Caenorhabditis elegans: one gene and its partner. The protein of the gene in region 2 interacts with the protein of the main gene of each other region in a pairwise test. Each region holds a gene or a part of one and is shown on either strand. Other genes may lie near its edges.

Evidence for each region.
Region 1: the proteins of mul-1 (region 2) and nphp-1 interact in a two-hybrid assay, tested with the Caenorhabditis elegans proteins (one large-scale study listed by BioGRID).

Annotation. Positions count from the first base shown.
Region 1 is NC_003280.10:10,648,290-10,654,318, forward strand, and holds nphp-1 (Nephrocystin-1-like protein), read right to left. Parts: upstream 3,968-6,029; 5' UTR 3,941-3,967; coding exon 3,872-3,940; intron 3,350-3,871; coding exon 3,251-3,349; intron 2,998-3,250; coding exon 2,855-2,997; intron 2,799-2,854; coding exon 2,270-2,798; intron 2,220-2,269; coding exon 1,989-2,219; intron 1,811-1,988; coding exon 1,311-1,810; intron 1,233-1,310; coding exon 1,120-1,232; intron 1,075-1,119; coding exon 839-1,074; intron 778-838; coding exon 649-777; 3' UTR 604-648; downstream 1-603. Other genes in the region: M28.10 (Flo11 domain-containing protein), read left to right, coding at 1-234; lact-3 (Beta-lactamase-related domain-containing protein), read right to left, coding at 4,290-4,475, 5,211-5,348, 5,548-5,611. UniProt on the Caenorhabditis elegans protein: Plays a role in the extension of dendrites from phasmid ciliated sensory neurons. May be necessary for initial assembly of the cilium.
Region 2 is NC_003282.8:4,120,687-4,125,227, forward strand, and holds mul-1 (ShKT domain-containing protein), read right to left. Parts: upstream 2,481-4,541; 5' UTR 2,335-2,480; coding exon 2,210-2,334; intron 1,693-2,209; coding exon 1,579-1,692; intron 1,454-1,578; coding exon 1,343-1,453; intron 1,302-1,342; coding exon 1,155-1,301; intron 1,105-1,154; coding exon 919-1,104; intron 782-918; coding exon 685-781; 3' UTR 656-684; downstream 1-655. Other genes in the region: F49F1.7 (ShKT domain-containing protein), read right to left, coding at 2,900-2,996, 3,673-3,951, 4,002-4,112, 4,381-4,491.

The DNA of each region.
Region 1 (6,029 bases), on a different chromosome or scaffold from region 2:
GTGTCTCAAGGAACTCAGCCGACTGGTGGAAGTACTGCTGCTCCAGTGAGTACTGATGCACCAGGTTCTACTGTCTCTGGAGCAACCGATGCATCCGTTGCATCCACAGCTGGTGGAGATACTACTGCAAGTGGAGCTTCTGTGGTATCAACCGCTGCTTCTTCCGAGGCCTCTACCGCCGCACCTGAAGCTTCTTCCGCTGCCGCTACTGTAATCAGCGGCAAGCCAGTTTAGGAACTCTTAGATTTCTCAGAACCACATCCTGATCGTCAGCTCGCAGAATTTCATGATGTAATAAAACCCCTTAATGGAATAAATTCGATGAGGCTGTGATTCTGAAAAATCGCCCAATTTTATTCATTATTGCGAATAAACATATTTCATTTCAAATCCATTTTTTGAGAGGGTACAGTGTGAAAATTTACAACTGAAAAATGGCCATTGCTCAGTTTTACCACTCCTATGTTTGGGAGTCGACTCTAAATTATTCAAATATTAAACAAAAAAACCAAAAATTTCAAAACCAAAAATTTCAAAACTTGAAATTTACTGAAACAATGACTGAAACATTTCTATGCTTAGATGCTAGATGAGTAGAACTTATTACACAGTTAAATTTTTTATTGAGCTTAATTTTATCTCCATAAATTAGTCAATAGAATGATTGCCTAAAAGATCCAATGAATAATCGATAATATTGATTGGTTTGCATTGTTGATCTGCGATGAACTGCTTGAAAAGTCCCTTATTCAATGCATCCACAAATCGTTGCATAGTCTGAAATGTTACAATAATCGAAGCCTGATTTTGAAACGAGCTCCAAGAGCAGCAGCTCTACCTGTTGCCTAATCGAAAGAGTAAGATCATCTTTGACATCATACGAAATCATTCGAATCCCATGAATAAAAAACGCGGTGTGTAGAAAAGTTTGGAAGAACTCGGCAGTTTGTTCAGCTTCGTTTTTCTTGGCGAGCACTTTCTTTTTGGTTTTCCAAATTTTCAGCATTATATCCATAATGTCATGCTGGTCACAAACAAATGGGAATACAGAGAGAAGTGGGTCAGATATAAATTCTGAAATTAGTTCAAAATATTGTTTGGGTGGGTATGAAATCCTACCAGCACTCAATGGATTCCGATTGTCCCGAATTAAAATGGTTCCAGCTCGTCGGCGGTAAAAGTGGAAGAATGGTAAATAAAGAGCATTGAATACTATGACATCGGGGAGGGAGCTGGAAAAATAATTTGGGTTGAACTTAAAGTCAGGTCAGGGATCCAGATTTTCAGCTTTCTTAGTTTCCAAAACTCACTCCACATATGAAACCTTATCCTTGGGAACATCCATCACTTGAACCAGAACTCTTCTTTTCGAAGCTTCCGGCAACTTCATTTTTGTCATCACTTCATCATCCAAATACAAAACATTCGTTCTACTTGGCACTGCTTTATCATCAATTATCAGTCGCAGATATGTATGTCCCAAACTCTTTTCCTCAATTCCTATTTGTGTCTTCACCAAATGAGATGCTTCCACAACAAGTACCACTGTCGGAGATCGATAGTTTGAGCGGAGAACAAAATCAGAAAACTCGATGCAGCTTCTCGTCTGGCTCTCTTTTTTCTCAAAGTACCACGTTGAAGATTTGACACGTGGCACAAGAGTGTGCACGTTGCTCACAATTTGAGTGGATTTTGGATTTGTGATGTCGACAAGAGCCATTCTGACAAGTGCCTTGTGTTCGATTAGGGGCATCTTTTCAAATCGAACTAGACGGATAATTTTTGATATATGGACAGTTCGCTTGTAAACCTGCAAAAAATATAGTTGATTTATGAAAGTGAGCAAAAAATGTGTTGCTATGAGTAGCAAATGATTCATAGTAAAAATTTTTAAAGCAATTTTCTCAGCCGTTTTTAGGAAGACTCAGAGGTTTTTTGGCAAAACTGTAGCATTTTTTGGGTAGAAACTGCAAGTTTTAAACTTTTACCTGATCCTTGTAATGACTCCAAAAAAGATCATGAAATCCAATATTTGAAGTTGATAGTCTCGGAGCCATATGGCACACTAGTGACAAGTGAGTGTCATTGTCATATGCTTTACCAAGACAGTCATCAACTCGAGATGCCTGCCGGTTTGCTTCTCGTCTTGATGGATCAGTAGTCGTAGATATTCCGATCACCGAATCTCGAACTCCGAGGCGACTAGACACTTTTGATGGCTGAAAATTTCTACTTATTAAACTAACGATACTAGAGAAAAGTAACAAACCACATTCTTCGGCTTTTCCTTAACATGTTGTAAATAAGTCTTTGGCACAAGACCCCTCTGACCATATTCATCCAGTGCAGTCCACCAACCATCGGATCTTGTCTGTGTGATTCGATACTTCTTTCCTTTGATTAACTCCAAATCCCCTTCAGCTTCTGCATCCCAACTGTCAATTGCAACAAAAACATTGCCACGGACTACAACTGGTTCCATAACTTCTCCAGAATCTCCACGACTCGGATTCTGAAGCCTTGAGATGACTTCATCAAGTTCTTGACGTTCATTCAAAGTCTTTGATTCAAGAGGTTTTGTAATTGTGATAGGTTGTCTGGGTTTTGGTTGAGGTTGCTGGTGCTGTTGCTGTGGAGGCTGTGGCTGACTCGGAAGAGGATCATCCAGCTGAACATCCGTCTCAATAATTTCTGAATCATTATCAGAATCTTCTGATTCATCATCGTTATACATTGTGCTTTTTCGGCGGCCAATTGCAGCCATTTTCGGTTTTTCTTCTTCTGATTGAGAGTCCACACTGGAATTGAATATTTAACTATTTATTAGAGAAATTGAATTTAATTATAATTTTACCTGACAGAAAACGATAATTGCTCCTTTTCCGGGCTCAAAGCTGTCAATCTTTGCTTCAACTTGTCAAGTTGCTCTAGAGCGTTTTCTTTCTTGTAGGTCTCGTCAGTTTTGGCCTTTTCAATTCGATTTCGGTGATCGTCGAGCTGCAAACTGTATGCATATGTTGATATCCTTGAATGATACTTCTACGTAGGCACGAGAATGCCTACCTACCAGAGTGCCTACGGTCTACACATATGCCTAACAATTTTTCAATGTTTGTAAACAATTAATTGAAATTAAATAGAAAGTTGGTCGACCTAAAATCTATGAATCAAACCGGAGATCCCATAATGGGCGGTAGGTAGGCCCGTAGGCAGCCAGGCATAAGGCAGATAGAGAAAATGCAATTTTTACCTGTCTATGCAATTCCTGGCACTGTCTGACAAAATGTTTGCGAAAACTTGCTCTCGACGCGGCTTCGGTGTCTTTTTGCTCTTTTTCGAGGCGATTTATCTGAAAAAAAGGCTTTTGCTATTTTTCCTTGAAAATACGGTTTACGGTCTAGACACGACAATTTTTGTCGAATGCGAAAAGTTGTGTGCCTTTAAAGAGTACTGTAATTCCAAACTTTCGTTGCAGAGGAATTTTTTAGTTTTTTAATAGTTTTTAGATGAAAATATGTACATTAAATTTAAAAAAAATTCTGGAATTTTGAATTACAGTACTCTTTAAAGACGCACACCTTTCCGCATTTAACAAAAATCTGTTGTGACGAGACTCAGTTTTAATTATACGTTTGAAATTTAATTAAAACGTTGAAAATGCGCCCCACTGCAACTTTTTGGGTATTGAAGGGATTTTTTTAGTTGGAAATGAACAATAAACCACGAATTCAATTTTTAGTTATTTAATAATGTGTAATGGAAAAATTAAAAAATTCACAATAATAATTTTTAAATAAATTACAAAAAAATCCAAAAATTGAAAAAAATCGAATTCCTTTTCAAATTCGTGTTAACAATTAATATTCCCCACCTGATATTCAAACTGCGGAAATCGATTTATGGCATCCTGCAGACTTAGAATGCTTCCAAATATGGACATCCTGCTTTCCTCTCCCCCTGGAAAGCTCTTTTCCGCGCGGCCACTTGCCTTAAGCCACCCTCGTTGCCCCTGGCAACTTGCGGGTTACCACCTGCCAGCTCCCCGCAAATGTGGTTAAAAACTGGTGAACTGATGGTTTATTAGTAAGGAAATCGAGAGAGAGCAGATAAATATGCAATTTTGTGGGGTCACTCGGTCAGTTAATTACGGGGGAAGAAGCTTCAACATTGAGAGAACGACACTTGGAATGAATGAATTAAAAACGGACTGTACAAAGAACACGCGGGATGATTTGGGATATATCTTAAAACTATATGGAATCACTAATTAAAAAATGAAATAAAATAAATTATGATTGAATATTAATTTGTTCGATGACATCATATACAGAAGTCTGAAGTCCCCAGTACGTCCTGCACAAGTCGTAGAGTCCCGTTTTCAACCCATTTGTGACGTAGGCAATTGTCACTCGATTCTTGAGATCTGTGATGACCATTTGGCATCCGTGCCCGGTATGTCCGAAGCCGAATTGAGTCTGAAAATATGGCGAATTATGAAAGAAAAATATTAAAAAAATTCACTGAAAATTAAATAAAAAAACGCTCCTAACATTTTGCAGGTTCTTTAGCTAAATTTAGGGTTTTAAATATTTTTTCTATGCATTTTCATTTTTTGAATGAATTCGAAATTAATGGTTTTTCAACAATTTCTCCTGTTTTTTCGTTTTCTGTTCACCACCTGGGCTCTTTTTTTTTGGTCCTTTGCTAATTTTTTGGGGGTTTCAAAATTTTTTTTTTTTTGCTTTTTTCGGCAGTTGTAATTTTATTACAAAAATGGATTTTTCAGTCTTTTTTAATGCAAAAATTAATTTTTGGCTGTTTATGTTTTATGTTTATTTATTTAATTTATTTTTAATTTTGTTAATTTTTGTTATTTTTGTTAATTTTTGTTAATTTTTGTTAATTTATGTTTATTTAGCAAAAAGGTACTTTTCGGGTTTTTTTGAGAAAAATTGATTTTTTTGAATTTTTTATGGGAAAAAGGACAGTGGTTTTTTTTTTCGCAAAAATGGATTTTTTAAAAGTTTTTTTTGGCAAAAATTAAAAAATCTGCTTTATTGGATGAATTTTGACTTTTTCGTTCTTTAAGAGTTTTTTCAGACTTTTGTTGGTTTTTTTGGTTTTTTTATTGTGAAAATGGATTTTTTAAAATTTTTCAGTTCAAAATTTCCATCATCCCTCGTCCCTCTTTCGATTATTCAAAATCTCACCCCAGCTCTATGAATGGGCAAATGGAAAAATCCGTGTCCCTTGGCGACAGTATCATCAAAAATGAAATCACTCTCGTTGACGAACGGTTTGCTTATCGTGTTCAGTGTAGCCTGATTGAGAAGTTTTCCTCGATTTACCTGAAACAATCCTCTTAACTATCGTTTTTGTTTCAGTTTTTTTAAACAGTCACAAGGAAATTTCCTTTTTCTTTTTTTTTGTTCGACTTAAAAATTTCTTTTCTTCGCTATCAGCCTAGTTTCAGCTGATAACGATGTTCAAACAAAACGAAAAAAAACTTAAAATTCTCATAAATTTATCAAAAAAACGAGAACAAACCTTGTCAAAAAGTGAGGCAAGAGAACGAGCATTTCCCATTCCAAGTGCGGCAGCTTGCTCCAATCTGGAAAAAAAACATGAATTTTAAAAAATGAAATAGCATAAAATATTGGTCAGATGCGAGATTTTGTCTCAAAACTATGACAATAGGTCTCGAAGCGACTTTTAAGGAGTACGGCAGTTTCTGAATTCTCATTTTAAAACATTTCATTTATTTTTTTATACTTTCACATGCAACATCGTAAAAAATCCAAAAAGAAGCGAGGATTTGGAAACTACAGTAATCCTTAAATTTTGGCATTGGAGAAAATCGGCCGCTTCGAGACCTGGTAGTGTATTTTTTGGGGGAAAATAGCAAAGTTTCGGATCTGGGTAACAGAATTTTTTGCGTAAATATACAAAAATTTGCTCGAAACTACCGAATTTCATAATGCGACATTACACAAAAAAAGCCAAAACTTTTATGGAGTGTAAATATTTTA
Region 2 (4,541 bases):
ATCGAAAATTCACCACAAATAAAGATATGTAGATAATTTCATTGCGGTCATTTCTTATATGCATCGCGAAATCGATTTTGTGATGATTTTCGAGATAGTAGCCAATATAGGTTTCCCGACTGAGTATCATGAACCAACCCATCTAGTTTCTGTGCTACCGTGGGATCTTCCTCTTTGCATTTTTCACGCTCCATTGACAATCGCCTGCCGGACAACAAGTGGAAAAGTCGTGTACTCCACACGGACAAATACATTCACACGTGGTGTCAGGTTGTCCTATTACGGTTTGATCTACAAAAATTGTGGGAATTTTCTCCCCAAAGAAATGTGACGTCAGCACATTCTTAACCATGCAAAATCAGTTGAGAAGTCTGCGTCTAAATGCCTGCAATTCTTGTAGATCTACGTAGGTTATACTGAAATGGGGCAGCTTGACACCAAACTCATTTAGTTCTAGAAACGAGCCGCGACGCGACACGCAACGCCCCGTAAATCTACTAAATCTACTGATACGGCAAACTCTCACATGACCAGGAAACAAAGGGGTCTCGTAGCACATTTTTCGTTAAAACTATGCCGTTTGCGTTAAGAAGTCATAATTCCTCATGTTCGACTTCACACCCTCTTTTGTCATCACATTGATACACATTTTGATAAGAATAAATAATTTATTAAATCAAAAAATCAGCACATTCTACATGTCTTTGCACAGTACTCCTTTCTCTTCTCCGGTGGATAGAAGGTGTTCGTGCAGAAGCCGTTTTTTGCCCACCCGGCACAGCTGGAAATTTTGAGAGACTTACTTAAATAGTAATTAAATGAGAAATGATAGCTTAACATTGAAGCAGCAATCTATCATGTTTTAATAATAGATAGAAAAACTGAAATTTCGAAATGAGCATCAATCTATAAACTAACTTTGGCGACGAATCCTTGCATGGTGGCTTTGGCGTAGTTGATGGAAGCTTCTTGGTCGTGGTAGCTGGCAGTTTTGTTGTAGTACTTGGTACTACTGTAGTCGTAGGCTTTACCGTAGTGAGCAACGTAGTTTGAGCCATAGGTACCCCAGTACTTCCACAAACTCCACAGGTCCGTGGGCAGAATCTAAAGTTTCACTATAAATTTAATAGTTAATCTCAAAATAAATCCCCGACATCTTTTGGTTCACATCACATGGCAGCGTATAGGTGGCGCATTCGTTGCCACTATCAAAACATGGTGGAGTTGGTGACGGTCTGGGAGGAGCTAATGTCGAATTACTGGCTCCCGAGGTGCAAACTCCACACCTTTTTGGGCATTGTCTAAAATTTTCAAATTCGAACGTCCTACAATTCCAACATACATCTTAACAGCGTCAGTACATGGAACGCTATAATTTGGGCACTCAATCATATGATCAAAGCAGCTGTCCGGGGTAGCTGGTACGCAGGTTCCACAGGTGTATGGGCATTGTCTGGAAATAAAGGTAGTTTGATTTATGAATGCTCATTGCTTTATAAAAAAACTATTGATCGTTTTGTTGACAAAATAACAGATACGTAAATTTAATGCATGTTTGTGTATTGTTATACAACTCACTTCTGATACTTCACATCCGTCTTGCACATTGAATCAAACTTCAAGCAATCTAAGTTAGTGTCAGTACATTGATTTGGATCCTGATGGCATATTCCACAAGTGTATGGGCATTGACTGAAAATTCCTTTGTATACATGTAGTTTAACATTCGCTTTTGTAATTTAACATAAGGAATATTGAAGTAGCTTTTAAAATATTATTTCACCCAATGCGATAAGCATATAAAATGCAACAGTGTGAATTGACTACAAAATATAATAACATATGTAAATACACATATATATATATATATATTATTGCCTCACTATGATAACATTTGAACAAATTAACACTAATAATGACGTTAAAACGTTAATATTACAAGCAAAACAAATTAGTATAACCTGTTAGTACTTCTAATAATAATTATAACGTTAATAAGTTTAATAAACTTAATTACGTTAATACCTTCAATATTGTTTACTACATACATACGTTAATAACCTTAATATTAATAAAAAATTCGTAGTAATATGTAGCAATAGTATGAGGTTATAATTTTTAATAGGTTATGCACATAATGCTTTTTAATGTAATACTATTGATGTTGATGGTAGTAAGTTATTTTTGTACGATATTAATAAGTAACAACCTCTGCACAAATCCCTGATCACATTGATCCTTGAGATCCGGACATGTGATCATTGAGTCTTCACATAGATTGCAAGTTGCAATAATGTATATTGAAAAAAGAATAGGCAGGATGTAGTAGTGCATTTTTTGTGGGAAAATCTAGTACATAATACTTGATGTAATGCCTTGTTTTATAACAAAAGTTTCAGTGTGTTATCAGTTAAGATGGGGGTTAGAAACCAAGATGATGATGATGGTGATTAAAATAATGATGATATTTGTTTAAAAGTGATGTTAATCAACAAATTTCGAGGAATTTTAATGGCCTGATCATCATAATTCTGATCAAAAAGGTGGACGAAAGCAAAGATGTATTTTACGACAGGTGCATAGAAATAATATATATCAACAAAAAATCTAGAAATCAACTGATAAACCTACTGATAAAAAAAGTTGTGTCGCTACTTTACTAAGCTGAACGTCATTTTCGTTTATTCCAGAACTTCCAAAAAAAAGTTCAACCAGAACTGGGGGTCGAACTTGTGACTTTCTGCACCGAGACGAAATCCCACTGCACCATTCGGAAAATTTCTGAAAAAAATGCTCAAAACTCAATTTTTTTTCTTTTTTCTGAAGTTATCGCAGAAAAATCATATAAATAATTTATTAGCACATTGAAATTAACAATTTATGTCCAAAATATTCCAAGTCAGCACATTCTGCACATCTTTCCGCAGTACTCCTTTCGTTTCTCCGGTGGGTAAAAGGTGTTGGTGCAAAAGCCATTCTTCGCCCAGGTTGTGCAGCTGAAAATGGAATATTATAGCTGATATTATAGCAATATTATAGCTGAAAAAACGCCTACCTGTCTGACATTCAGGCGACCTCCGCCTGCCTCTCGCCTGAATCCAAGCCTTATGCTTATATGTACATAACAGGGGTGTGCGGCAAATCTCAAAATTTGCCGTGCTTAACTAACTCCGAAAAATTTGATATTTTTTGATGCACCAAAACTACTAAATTTTTAACACACGTCTGGTTTCAGAATAAGTTCCGTGTAGTGTGTTTGCTTAACCATTAAAATAACTCAATATTGTGTCATTTTACAACATTTTTTGGGAAAAAATCAATAGTTTTGGTCAAAATTGTAATGTGAAATTTTTGATGTGTGCGGCAAATTTCAGAATTAGCCGAGCTCGGCAAATTCGGCAAATCTATTTTTTTGAAATTTGCCGTGCTCGGCAAATTCGGCAAATTTGCCGAGCTCGGCAAACGGCAAATTCGGCAAATTCGGCAAATTTGCCGCACACCCCTGGTACATAAGTGAACTTTCCGTCAAAAATGGGGAAAAAATGTCAAAATGCAAGAAAGGCCTGCATGAGGCAGATTTCAGGCAGGCGTCAAGCTCTGAAACCGCGCCTGCCTACCATGGAAGCCCTAGTCAGTAATATGAAACACTTTTTTCAGGCTTAAGAAACTCACTTTGGCGAAGAATCCGTGCACGGCGGTTTTGGCTTTGTAGTCGTGGTTTTGACGGTAGTTGATGGAGTTGTAGTTTTTGTAGCTTTTGTAGTCTCTGTAGTCTTTGTAGTCTTTATAGCCTTTGTAGTCTCTGTAGTCTCTGTAGTCTCTGTACTCTTTGTAGTCTGTGTAGCCTGTAGTCTTCTTGTAGTCCCAATTTGCAGGTGGCCATTAGTTGTAGTCACAGACGCCTCCTTTGTGGACGGATTCCCGCACGCATCACAGCTTCTGGGGCACTTTCTGAAAAATTTCTGATAAATCAGATGTTTTTTAATCTTCATAATTCCCACATTCTCTCAGTTTCCGAGCAGGGAACTTGATATTTTGGGCATTCCGGCCAATGATCCATGCACCAGGTTGGGGCGGGAGAATCGCATATTCCACAGGATTTCGGGCATTGTCTGGAAATTTTCTAACAAATTGAAGGCTTTCGAGCATTAAAAAACCCAGCTTAGGCCTAAGGCTTAGGTTTCGGCGAGGCTGATGTGGAAAGAAAGAAAAAAAAGAAGTTCCGAAAAATCAGAAAAATGGGACATTCCGAAGCTTGGTCAAAAATCTCATAAAGCCCAAAAAACGGCCCAAAAAACGGCCAAAAAAGAACGACAAAAGTTTGACGGAGTTGGAGAGTTGAATCAAGGAAAATCGATTTTTAAAAATATACAAACTTACTCCCTATATGGCATCATCACACACATTTCGTGAAACTTCTCACAATCCGAATTAGTGTCACTGCAGGTAGTCGGATCAGGCGCACATTCTCCACAGGTTAGCTGGCACTGACTGAAAATTTTTGACGTATTATAGTTGTGAATTTAAAGGAAACTATTGGT